3 linked regions of the Danio rerio genome follow. The protein of the gene in region 1 interacts with the protein of each later gene in a pairwise test. Links are inferred from orthologs where the notes say so. Each region holds a gene or a part of one and is shown in the gene's direction. Other genes may lie near its edges.

What was found.
Region 2: the proteins of cyth1b (region 1) and cytip interact in binary tests that used the Homo sapiens proteins (3 or more experiments, as listed by UniProt). The link is inferred for Danio rerio from reciprocal best matches to the Homo sapiens genes CYTH1 and CYTIP.
Region 3: the proteins of cyth1b (region 1) and itgb2 interact in a two-hybrid assay, tested with the Homo sapiens proteins (2 studies listed by BioGRID). The link is inferred for Danio rerio from reciprocal best matches to the Homo sapiens genes CYTH1 and ITGB2.

Annotation. Positions count from the first base shown.
Region 1 is NC_133187.1:36,080,234-36,083,893, forward strand, and holds part of cyth1b (cytohesin-1b), read left to right. Parts: intron 1-184; coding exon 185-251; intron 252-593; coding exon 594-712; intron 713-3,660. UniProt on the Homo sapiens protein: Promotes guanine-nucleotide exchange on ARF1, ARF5 and ARF6. Promotes the activation of ARF factors through replacement of GDP with GTP.
Region 2 is NC_133184.1:5,283,832-5,288,254, reverse strand, and holds the start of cytip (cytohesin-interacting protein), read left to right. Parts: upstream 1-1,611; 5' UTR 1,612-3,581; coding exon 3,582-3,758; intron 3,759-4,171; coding exon 4,172-4,221; intron 4,222-4,423. UniProt on the Homo sapiens protein: By its binding to cytohesin-1 (CYTH1), it modifies activation of ARFs by CYTH1 and its precise function may be to sequester CYTH1 in the cytoplasm.
Region 3 is NC_133184.1:46,774,080-46,777,739, reverse strand, and holds part of itgb2 (integrin beta-2), read left to right. Parts: intron 1-927; coding exon 928-1,019; intron 1,020-2,034; coding exon 2,035-2,227; intron 2,228-2,330; coding exon 2,331-2,501; intron 2,502-3,274; coding exon 3,275-3,516; intron 3,517-3,660.

The DNA of each region.
Region 1 (3,660 bases):
ATTGTGAATTCTGTGGGGAATCATGATCTCTATTTTAACCCCCAAAAATGTGATCCTCACACTATTTTCCGAATTGTGCAGCTCAGTGTTGTGCAACTCTGCTCCTCAAGTTTTAGATTGCAATTTTTTTTTAAACAAACCTCCCCAGCATTAATAAAGCCCTCTTCTCTATCTGTGTTTTCAGAATAAACATGCAGCGGAGTAAGCAGATGGCTATGGGCCGCAAGAAATTTAACATGGATCCCAAAAAGGTAAACAAGCATTAGGTTGCAATATAAAAAGCAGGTTTTCTAAATCATGAAGACTCCCTGATATGCTTATGGCAAATCAAATGATTCCCATTACATAACATCCATTGGCATTTTGCATTTTTAAGCCTGTGATCTTTTATGGGTTCACAAATTAGCATAAACCCACAAGCTTTGTCGCTAAGCATCACACAACCACACTTTTCCCAGTTTATTTCCATTTTTCCAACCTCATGGGTTTCATTTTTAAGAGCTGGGAGAGAGCAAGAATATCACCAACCTGAAACTGAAGTTATAATACATGCATGTAGGAAGACATTAATGCTGAATGTTGTGTTTTCTCAGGGGATTCAGTTCCTCATCGAGAACGAGTTGCTGAAAAACACTTGTGAAGATATTGCTCAATTCCTCTACAAGGGTGAAGGGCTCAACAAGACCGCCATCGGAGATTATCTGGGTGAAAGGTAGGAATGAGTCCTTCTGATGCTCGTAAATTATAAGGGCTGATAAAATATTAATAAATGGGTTCAGAACATGAAGGATAACCAGCTTCTTCCTTTCTTGAATCAGTGTTAGTCTAATATGTTACATGTAAACCTGCAAATGGTTGAAGCCATAGTGGGCGGAGTTGGTCACTATAAATAGATACATATATTTAAATATAAATATTTAATTTTTTACTTTATTGTCTTTATTTATTTATTTTTTTGTTGTTGTTTGTTTATTTTTGTACATATATTTTGTCTACTTTATTTTGGGGATTTTTTGGATTAGACACTTTTGCACTGTAAATAAACGCACCTTTGCTCCATAGTGCTACATCGGCTGAGCCCTCATTTATTTTTGTCTTGTTTTACACGTAGCCTAACAACGCCTCTGTGTGACTCTCAAGCTCCTTGCTCTTATGTGATTGGCCAACAGAAAGCAGCATGCAAAGTTTGGAAGATGACAGAATAAGTGGTTTGGAAAAAGTTTGTTTTCATTTAATCATAATAGTATATTTAATTTATTTAAAATTATTATATATTTTTTGTTTATTTAGCTAAAAACAAAAGAATTTTCTCATTTTGACCAGATAGATAATCATAAATATACATTTTAGATACAACAAGGACAAGTTCAATTGATCAAAAGTGGCAGTGAAGACACTAAAAATGTAAAAAAGAAAAGGTTTCAAAGAAATGCTGTTCTTTTGAACTTTATATTCATCAGAGGAACTAAAAAAAACGCTTTCCCCTAAAATATTTAGAAGCAACTGGTTTTTCAGCATTGGATTAATTTCAGTGTAGTTATGTATATACTATGTACTGTATATCATAATACCACACTGGCAATTCACCTAGTTATTATGAAATAAATCTATTTTTAATTAATCTAGTCTCTATGTAAGGACTCAATCAGGTAACGTGTCTTTCGCTTTCACTCTTGTACTTAGTAATTTTAGTGAAAACCTCATATGCTGTTGGTTGGTTTTTGTTGGTTGTGGACCTTTTTTTACCAACAAAGTTTGTGGACGCCATTATAACAACACAGATCACTCTACCTATTAATGCCAGGGTCTGGCGGAAAAAATAAATGGCAGGTATTAATTTGTGTGTAACTTATCTTTATTTATGTATGATTTGGTTATGTATAAAACAAAGACCGTGCGGGTCAGGTATAGAAGAAACGGTAGGCTACAAATAGTTAATTCGTTATGAATTAATTAATTAATCATAAATAATTAATTCATATATATGAATATTTTGGTTTGCATATACTGCCACCTTTTCAGGATATATATGTAATGAACAAAGTTTAGGTTGCAAAGGAACATATTCTTCAACCATTTCACACATTTTACAGACCACACTATGTACCTCCTTCCAAAACAACTGCAGCTCTCCACACTCCCACATACAGTGAAACAGAGTACTAATTTCAACTTTTAATTTTTTGCAATAGTCTGAAATGTTTGGGTTAATCCGATGTATAAAATAAATTATATATATATATATATATATATATATATATATATATATATATATATATATATATATATATATATATATATATATATATATATTTATATATATATATATATTTTATATATATATATATATATATATATATATATATATATATATATATATATATATATATATATATATATTTATATATATTTATATATATATATATATATATTTATCTATATGCATATGAATTAACATTTTATATTTAATTTAAATTACACACACAAACTTGTAAATGCTCAATATAACATTGCATATTTTATTTATTAAGTATTTTAAGATAATATATATTTGTACTATTATACGACAATAATTATTTCACTATAAAATAAAACATTATTTGTACAGAAAAAAAGAAAGCAATAAGTCAGTGATCTTGCTTTCTATCAAACATTACCATGTTCATGTAAGTTAAACAGATCTTGTCCATTTTAAAGAGCTAAATCTGCTATTTCCAGAATCAGAGCTCGAGGGAGAATGACATCACTGATCATAAGCCGTTCCACTCTGATACACTACAGTCTGTCAAAGGCCATTATCTAGTTCATCACAATGGCCTGTGCCCATATGAAAGTGCTGTGTTTCGCATTAAGGGTCAGCTTACACTTTATTGATGGACTGAAACTCAATGTCAGTGCCAGGCCATCAGGGAGCTGTCAGAGCAGGAAGGAAAGGTATACAGGATTAATTTTCCTCCATCAGTGTAATTATAGATGTGCATGATTGCACTAAAACTAAAGGAGCAGCTTAACCCAAAACGCAACATTCTGCAAGTATTTACTGTTAGCGGCAGCAAGTCAAAACTGCATTGTTGAGAGAGAAAAAATGACAGATTGTAATTGTCATATTAAACTATGGGGGTTTTGAATGAATGATTCTGATTGGTTGATGAACATACTGATGTGTAAAGTTCTTTTCATATAAAGTAGTTCCAGGCAAGTTTTGACCACATCACAGTTCCATATCACTACTCTGAGGGATTTGTGAACTTTCAAAGGTTCCACAAAGAAGCTGACCAAGCAAATAAATTGATCAAACAACATTATAAAAAGGCAACCCATTTCATTGTTTGGCCCTCAGAATTGTTTTATTTTCTATAGAAAGCATGTTCTCTTGCTGCTGTTCTGTGTTTCTCCGCACCTTAATCAATAGTTTTGCTGCTGATAAATGTACAGTATTTCTTTGTAGGAAAGTAGAAACGTCACTACTCTTTACACTTCAAATAAAACTTACAGTTTTGTTATGATAACATACAGTATGCTGCTGCCACACAGACTCAAGTCATTCACACGCGCTTGATCATTCTCATATTCGTAGTTCACCTCCCTGTTGCCATTTTCTAACCATTTTACTGTTTTTGACCAACGGTTTTGTCAAAAAACAGTGACTGTTTTTTGACA
Region 2 (4,423 bases), on another chromosome or scaffold:
TTTTGTTCTTCACTTTTGCAATGAGAATTTATGGCACAATATTACAAAACTAATGTTATTTTAGAAGGCATGTCTTTATTATTTTTTGTCCTTCCCTTTTAAAGTTGGCAAATGCTTAATCATGTTTAAGACTTGACAATATGGCACACCTCATGTTTCCTGGACCAGTTTGATGTTCAAAGAGTTACAGCCCACAATGTTTTTTTTTTTTTTTTTTTACAGTTTTAATTATTTTTCTTACATTTCGACAGCCAAATCTCTGAAGTTGTCTCCGTCTACAATTCCTTTCAGTCACAAAGGTGCTTTCTTTCTTACTCTGTTCCTTTCTATCTGTTTCTTTGTTGATCATTTGTTTGTTTGCACTGCAAAAAATGCTTTTCTTGCTTAGATTTTTTGTCTTATCTCTAGTCTAAATATCTAAAATTTCTTATATCAAGAAGCATTTTCTAGACAAGCAAAACAAATTGTCTTGTTTTGAGAAATAAAATGCCAATATTAAGTGAGTTTTTCCGTAAAACAAGCAAAATAATCTGCCAATGGGGTAAGCAAATTAATCTTGTTTTTTCTTTTGACGTAAGATTATTTTGCTTACCCCATTGGCAGATTATTTTGCTTGTTTTACGGAAAAACTCACTTAATATTGGCATTTTATTTCTCAAAACAAGACAGTATGTTTTGCTTGTCTATAAAATTCTTCTTGATTTAGGAATTGTTAGATATTTCGACTAGAAACAAGACAATAAATCCAAGTAAGAAAAGCATTTTTTTGCAGTGTGATTGTTTGTTTGTTTGTTTGGAGGTACAGATGTATGGATTTGCCCATGTGCTGTTGTACTCCAAAGATGTTGATCTACAGCAAGGTTTTTAGCCCACTGTTTGTTTTTTTGTTTTTTGTTTTTTTGTGCCATGTTTAGCTTGTATTTCTCCATTCAGAAGATCCTGAGCCTTTGTCAGGAATGTGCTGGAGTATGTAAACGTGTTAACATCTCTGAGAAGTCTGCATGTGACACAGAGGTGACTATTTTACACAGAAATGACTAGGAATATAATAAATGGCAGAAAAAGGGCCAAACTACATTCTTTACAAACAAGTGTGTTCATGACTATACATAAAAAGCAGAAAGACTTAGAGTGGAGAGCAAAATTATTATCCCACCTGTGAAATATTATTATTATTATTATTATTATTATTTTATTATTTCTCAAGTGATATCAGATTAAGAACATTTTGTCCTGTAATATTTTTTCTTTTGTAGAAAGTTTGGTATTATTTCGGCTGGAAAAAAAGTTTATTTTTTAAAACATATAAGGTCAGTATTATAAGTCCTCTTATTTTTTTTTCCCTGTTAGCTACAGAACAAGGAATCATGAGACCAGAAGCCTCAAGCCAAAATGATTCCAATGGCTGTGCCCACTCATACTTGAATTCAATTCAGTTCAATTCATTTTTATTTCCATAGCATTTTTACAGTGTAGATTGTGTCAAAACAGCTTAAAGTAAGTTTCAAGAGTTCACACTTAGCTTATGATTGATACAATGACATTAAGGGCATATAGCAAATGAGTGCAAAGTAAACCAGAGTTGTGCAGATAAAAAAAACAGACTCAGTTGGGCACGACCATTGCGATTTCTCCGCTGGCCAAACGTCTTGTACAGAGCTGCAGTCTCAGGCCCCGTTTACACTAGTGCGTTTTAGTTTTAAAACGGCGTTTTAGAATGAAAACGATCCGCGTCCACACTCGCGTTTTACCCAGGGTTTCTGAACTGCTCTCCGTCCACACCAAAACGCTGAAAACGCACATCACGTGACCACATACTCTCTTGGGCAAGCGCTGCAGCCCATCTACCCAGATGAGAGCTGTGCTAGTCGGACTTCTTATCAAGCATCTCCCGCTGGATCTAATCTCATATTTATTAAACGTGATATTTCATTCATCTTGTTGTCTTTATCTAACAACATATTCCCTGACTTTGGGCATTGGAATCTATTACTTGTTCACAGGTAACGTGTTTTGGCTGACCGCAAAGATAAGTTAATGATTAATGTAACCACGTAGCCTATTCTGTATATTGACTGATCGCTTGCCTTTATTTCCTATAATGTATAAACTTAATAATGGCCATTATCGATTAGTAAAACTGATATTCAGCAAAAGAGAGGGTGTGTTTCATATTTTCACTGAAATTTAAAGGAGGCAGTTGTTATAGGCTCTGTTTTGTTATAAACATACACACAGTGAAGATGACGCTGATATTATGCCGCACGGCGCCTCAACATTTCTGCTGTCTGTTAAGTTGCTAATATTAAAATGAAGATAGACAGTTTAATCATGTTTACGTTTTATTGTTGAGAAAGTGAAACAACGTAGCCAGGGTGAATGAAGTTATAAAGTACACTGTTCCCTTTGAATATTTACCCGTGTCCTCGGTATAGTCTGTTTTCCATATCAAACTGAGAAGAAGAGACTGCAGCCTTGATCAAACTTGCGAAGTCTGAATTTACAAGGAGAGGATGCAGGACTGAACTGTGTGTGTTAGGCTACTTAATATTCAGGAAAAGCCCCAATCAGAGAGGCGAATGTCTGCAGCCCCGCCTCCGTTTTCAGATGTCTCCGTTTTCCATCATCCACACTGAGACGGAGCAGCAGCGTTTCAGAATGAAAACGGCCTCTCTAGCGTTTTCGAAACGCTCCGTTTTCGGCGCTCGAGAACGCCGGCGTAGTGTGGACGGTTGGCGTAACCGTAGCAAAACTTATGCGTTTTCAAACTAAAACGCATTAGTGTAAACGGGGCCTCAGCAGCGGAGGCTGGAAGCTGGCCTCAGCGTAGACTCGTTTGTCCCTGGAGCGTCACAGGAATCAGTCTAATGCTCTTCACTCCTCCATGACCACCACAGTAGCTGCTCAGGATACGGCCTGGTCCAGGATATGGAAACCTTGGGAGCATCTCGTCGCTGGTCTTGGGTTGAATCAATGACTCTGCATGGTCTGAGGGCCTAGGGATGAGTATCTCCAGGTGGAAATGGAGAATAATTAGCATAGCTGTTGTTCATAGTGTATGTAAACAAGATGCAGAAACCTGTGTGGAAACCTGCTAAGTGTATGCTTTACTAAACAGATAGGTCTTTAATCTAGTTTTGAGTTATCAGGACGGCTATTCCAGAGTTTAGGAGCCATAAATGAGAAGGCTCAACCTCCTTTACTTGACTTTGCTATTCTAGGTTCTACCAGAAGCCCTGAGTTTTGAAATCTTAAAGAGCGAGTTAAAGTTAGTTAGTTAAATAAACAGGAGCTAGATTATTTAAAGCTTTATTGGTAAGAAGCAATATTTTAAATGCAATACGAATCTTAACAGGCAGCCAGTGTAAGGAGGATAAAATTGGGGTGATATGACAAAACTCATCCTGCATGTTTGTTCTCAGACTACTGCAAATTCACAAGAGCTCAAAGCTTAAAAAGGAAACTGGCAGATGTCTTTAGTTCCTGACATTCACGTGATGTGGCTATATCCGCTGTAGACTGCAGTTGTGCGAATTCACACTGATGCCTGCAGTTGTGTGCAGCGCTTCTGTGAATGAGGCATGATGACATCCAATAGGAACTTTAAAATGCCTTTAAAACAGATGAGCAGCCTGGACAGCTACATAATCGACAGCTCTCAAAAGAAGAGAAGCATACTGTGGCGACAGCGCTCTTTCAGCAGTCCCAAAAATCTGAACACTGAAGGGATGAAAGGCAGGACATTGTCACAGAGTCAGGTGGGATGAACTAAATGCTATGTATTCTTAATAGTTACGTTCATGACAACATGAATGCAGCAAGTTTTGAATTATAATTAAAAAATGTCGTTCTTAATTAATTTTGTACAGATGTTTGGGAATTTTTTTAGAATTTTTAGATGGTTTAGATCAGGGGTGTCCAAAATCAGCCCTGGAGGGTTGGTGTCCTGCAGATTTTAGCTCCAACTTGCCTCAACACACCTGCAAGAATGTCTAGAAAGCCTAGTAAGAGCTTGATTAGCTAGCCCGGGTATGTCTGATAGTGTGTCTAGCACTAAACTTTGCAGGACACCGGGCCTTCAGGACCGAGTTTGGGCAACCCTGGTTTAAATCACTGAATTGTAAACTAGTACTGCAGATTGAATTAATCTGGGATTTGTTTTCATTTTCAGTTGGCCAGAACACACTCAAATTCACTGGTGGATTATACTGATCCTCAGAGGTAATGATACACTTCGTTATGAATGTCTGATGGTAAACTGAACTGAACTTCTACAGTGACATTTGCATGAAACTGAACTGAATCAAGTAGAACTACACCAGCAATCAACAACTACTTTCCTGTTTGCCTTGTCACGCTTTATTTTGATGGTTCATTTGTTGAATTTAAGTAACATTGCATCTGCAAACTAATTCTTAACAGA
Region 3 (3,660 bases), on another chromosome or scaffold:
GGTCTTTTGTTTTAAATTAAGATTTAAAGATCATTTGACAGCTAAATAACTGAATAAACTATTCATGTTTGATTTATTAGGATAGGACAATATTTAGTAGAGATAGAAATATTTGAAAATAAGGCATTTTAATATATATTAATATATGCCAAAATCTATTAACTAAGTATTAAATTAATCACCATATATATATATATATATATATATATATATATATATATATATATATATATATATATATATATATATATATATATATATATATATATATATATATATATATATATATATATATATATATATATTAAAAAAAAAAAAATATATATATATATATATATATATATATATATATATATATATATATATATATATATATATATATATATATATATATATATATATATATATATATTTCTGGAGGATTGTGTGACTTTGAAGACTATAATAATGCTGAAATTTCACCTATGCCATCACATGAATAAATACAAAAATAAAACTACATACTAAAATAATTTCAGAAAGAAAAGTGTATTTTAAAAAATATTATTTCCCAATATTTATATTTTTAGTTAACTGTGATCAAATATTATATGCCCAGCCTTGTTGAACACAACATTTTTTAAAGCATTTTTAAAACCCCAAATTTTTGAATGGTAGCATACTCTATACTTACTAATATTTTCTTTAGGATGTGAAAATGGTATTTTACAAAACTAGATACATACATATTGCCTAATATTTGGAAAAGTCTTTCAATAAATTGCAATAAAAAGCCATGTAGATGGCACACTAGGTTTTGGAACAAAATCAAATTTATGTGTGTCTTTTAACTACACTAATGAAAACAAAGCAAATATCTAGATGCTAAATCATGCAAATAAAGCAGGCTGTTTCAAAGTGTAATTAACGTTCGAACTATTCTTGAAGTCTACACACAGGAGCAATGCTTAAAAGCTTCAGTAAACACATGTGGAGACTGCATCAAGTCTGGACCTGGCTGTGCATGGTGTAAAGAGTTGGTAAGTACAGTTAATGGTTCTATTTTTAATACTGCTGAAATGCATTTTCATTGGTGAATCTGCCCTCATAAAATGACTGACTGTTTAATGACAGTTTAAATTTATGAATATATTTAATGCTGATTTATTATATAGCATGATGTCTAGCCACTTTACAGCTTACTGTCCAAATATAATGCATTAAGATGATACATAAAGTGGGCAGTTTGTTATTGCATTCACCTAGTACCTAGTTGGACCCCCTTTTGCCTTCAGAACTGTCTTAATCCTCATGCAGTTGCTTCTGATTTATTGGCTGCACATGCATGATGCGAATCCCATTCCACCACAACCCAAAGGTGCTCTATTGGATTGAGGATCTGGTGACTGTGGAGACCATTTGAGTAAAGTGAACTCATTGTTATGTTCAAAAAAACAGTCTGAGATGATTCATACTTTATGACATGGCACGTTATCTTGCTGGGAGTAGTCATCAGATGATGGGTACACTGTGGTCATAAAGGGATGGACATGGTCAACAACAATACAGTGACACAATGCTCAAATGGTACTAATGGGCCCAATGTGTGCTAAGAAAATCCCCCACATCATTACACAGCCATAACCAGCCTGATCCGGTGATAGAAGGCAGGATGGATCCATGCTTTCATGTTGTTGACGCCCAATTCTGATAAGAAATTTGTATTAATGAGCAGTAGGACAGGTGTCCCTAATAAAGTGGCCGGTGAGTGTATTTAGAATGAGCTGAAACAACAACTCTTGATATTATTTGGGACAACTTAATTGTTTTATAGGTTGTTGCTAGATCGGATATGGTTGCTGAAAATTTAACAATTATATATATTTTTTATTAAATTTCCCATTTATTGTATTTTATTAACCTTTACCCCCACCCCAACCCTAAACCCAACTATCACAGTAATGTAAAAACAGTAGCTGCATTTAAATGAGCTGAAAATATAATGACTGGCTGGCATGTCACTCCCTTCTACTTTCTGCGTTTTTCAAACCACAGAATTTCACCAAGACTGGAGAGCAGGAAGCAGCACGTTGTGACACTGTCAAGTTGCTTTTAGACAGAGGATGTAGCAAAGAGAACATCATAAATCCTCAAAACATTTTTCAAAATGTTGTGAACAAAGCTCTGGTTGCTGGTAAAGACCCAGTGCAAATCCAACCCCAAGAAATACAACTCAATCTTAGACCAGGTATTTTATATCCATATAAATCAACAATATCTCAAACAAACCAGTGGCCTTTACAATATACTGTATGTTTGGACATGGTAATGACTGCTTTTTTTTCTCTCAGGGATGCCCCAAACTTTTCAACTACGTTTTAAAAGGGCAGAAGGTTATCCTGTAGATCTTTACTACCTGATGGATCTGTCATACTCTATGAAAGACGATTTGGCGAATGTAAAAAACCTGGGAAATGATATACTTGAAAAGCTCAATAGAATCACTGGCAATGCCAGAATAGGTAAGAGCATATGCATATATTGGTAACACTTTACTTAAAAAAGATGACAATGTTTGAGATGTGTTTGTTATGACAATTTGATAAACAAATACATTATAACTGACATTTCCAAGACAACAATCTATCAGTGTCTTTGTCATGACAACTTGCATTACCAAGTCAACATAACTTGTCATATATTAGTCTTGTCATACGGCCATTATAATTGTCATTAATATTTTTCTGTTGAAATATTTCAGTGGATTTTTTTTGCTTGCCATTACATTCAAAATTAAAAGTGTCAATACTCTGTCAAATAATTTTATAACATTGTTATTAATATCTAATGACATTTAATTACATTTGAATGACAAATTCAATTTGTACCACTGTAGTTAATTGCAGTTTCAAAATTAATGACAATTCTAATGGCCTCATGACAATTTAAATTACAGTATGACAGATTTACGACAAGTTTTGTTGTCTTGGTAATGTCAAGTTGTCATGACAAAGACAGGTTGTGATGTGTTTGGTTATGTCAAGTTGTCATAACAAGAACATTTGATTCTTACCTTTACATTTAAAATGACATAACTAAGCAAACGACACCTAATGACAGCTGTCATAAGCATGCATGGAATGTCCTTCATATTCATGATGTGATATAAAGGTTTCATGACAGTCTTATGAACACCCCCTTTAAGTAAAGTGCTCCCAATATATTATATTGCACATTTTGGAGTTGCACTTTGAAAAGTTGCAATGGCTTCATTAACCAACCTTTCCTAATACAGGATTCGGTTCGTTTGTTGACAAAACACTTCTTCCATACACCGACACCAATGAAGCCAAACTTAAACACCCCTGCTCGGATAAAAATGAACCATGTCAGCCAGCATTTGGCTTTCAGCACGTGCTTCCACTCACAGCAAATGGGAACGACTTCAAAGAATTGGTAAAGCAGCAGCATATATCTGGAAACCTGGACCCTCCAGAGGGAAGCCTGGATGCCATCATGCAAGCTGCCGTCTGCCTGGTGAGACACATTTTTGACAGACATTTTAACAGGTTACATTATCCATATTATGTGCTTAAGAGTTGTTTATAAATCATGTAAACAATGTTTTTGTGCTTCGTTGTACACAATGCAAAGAAACAATAGTTTACAGTGGGGGAAGTA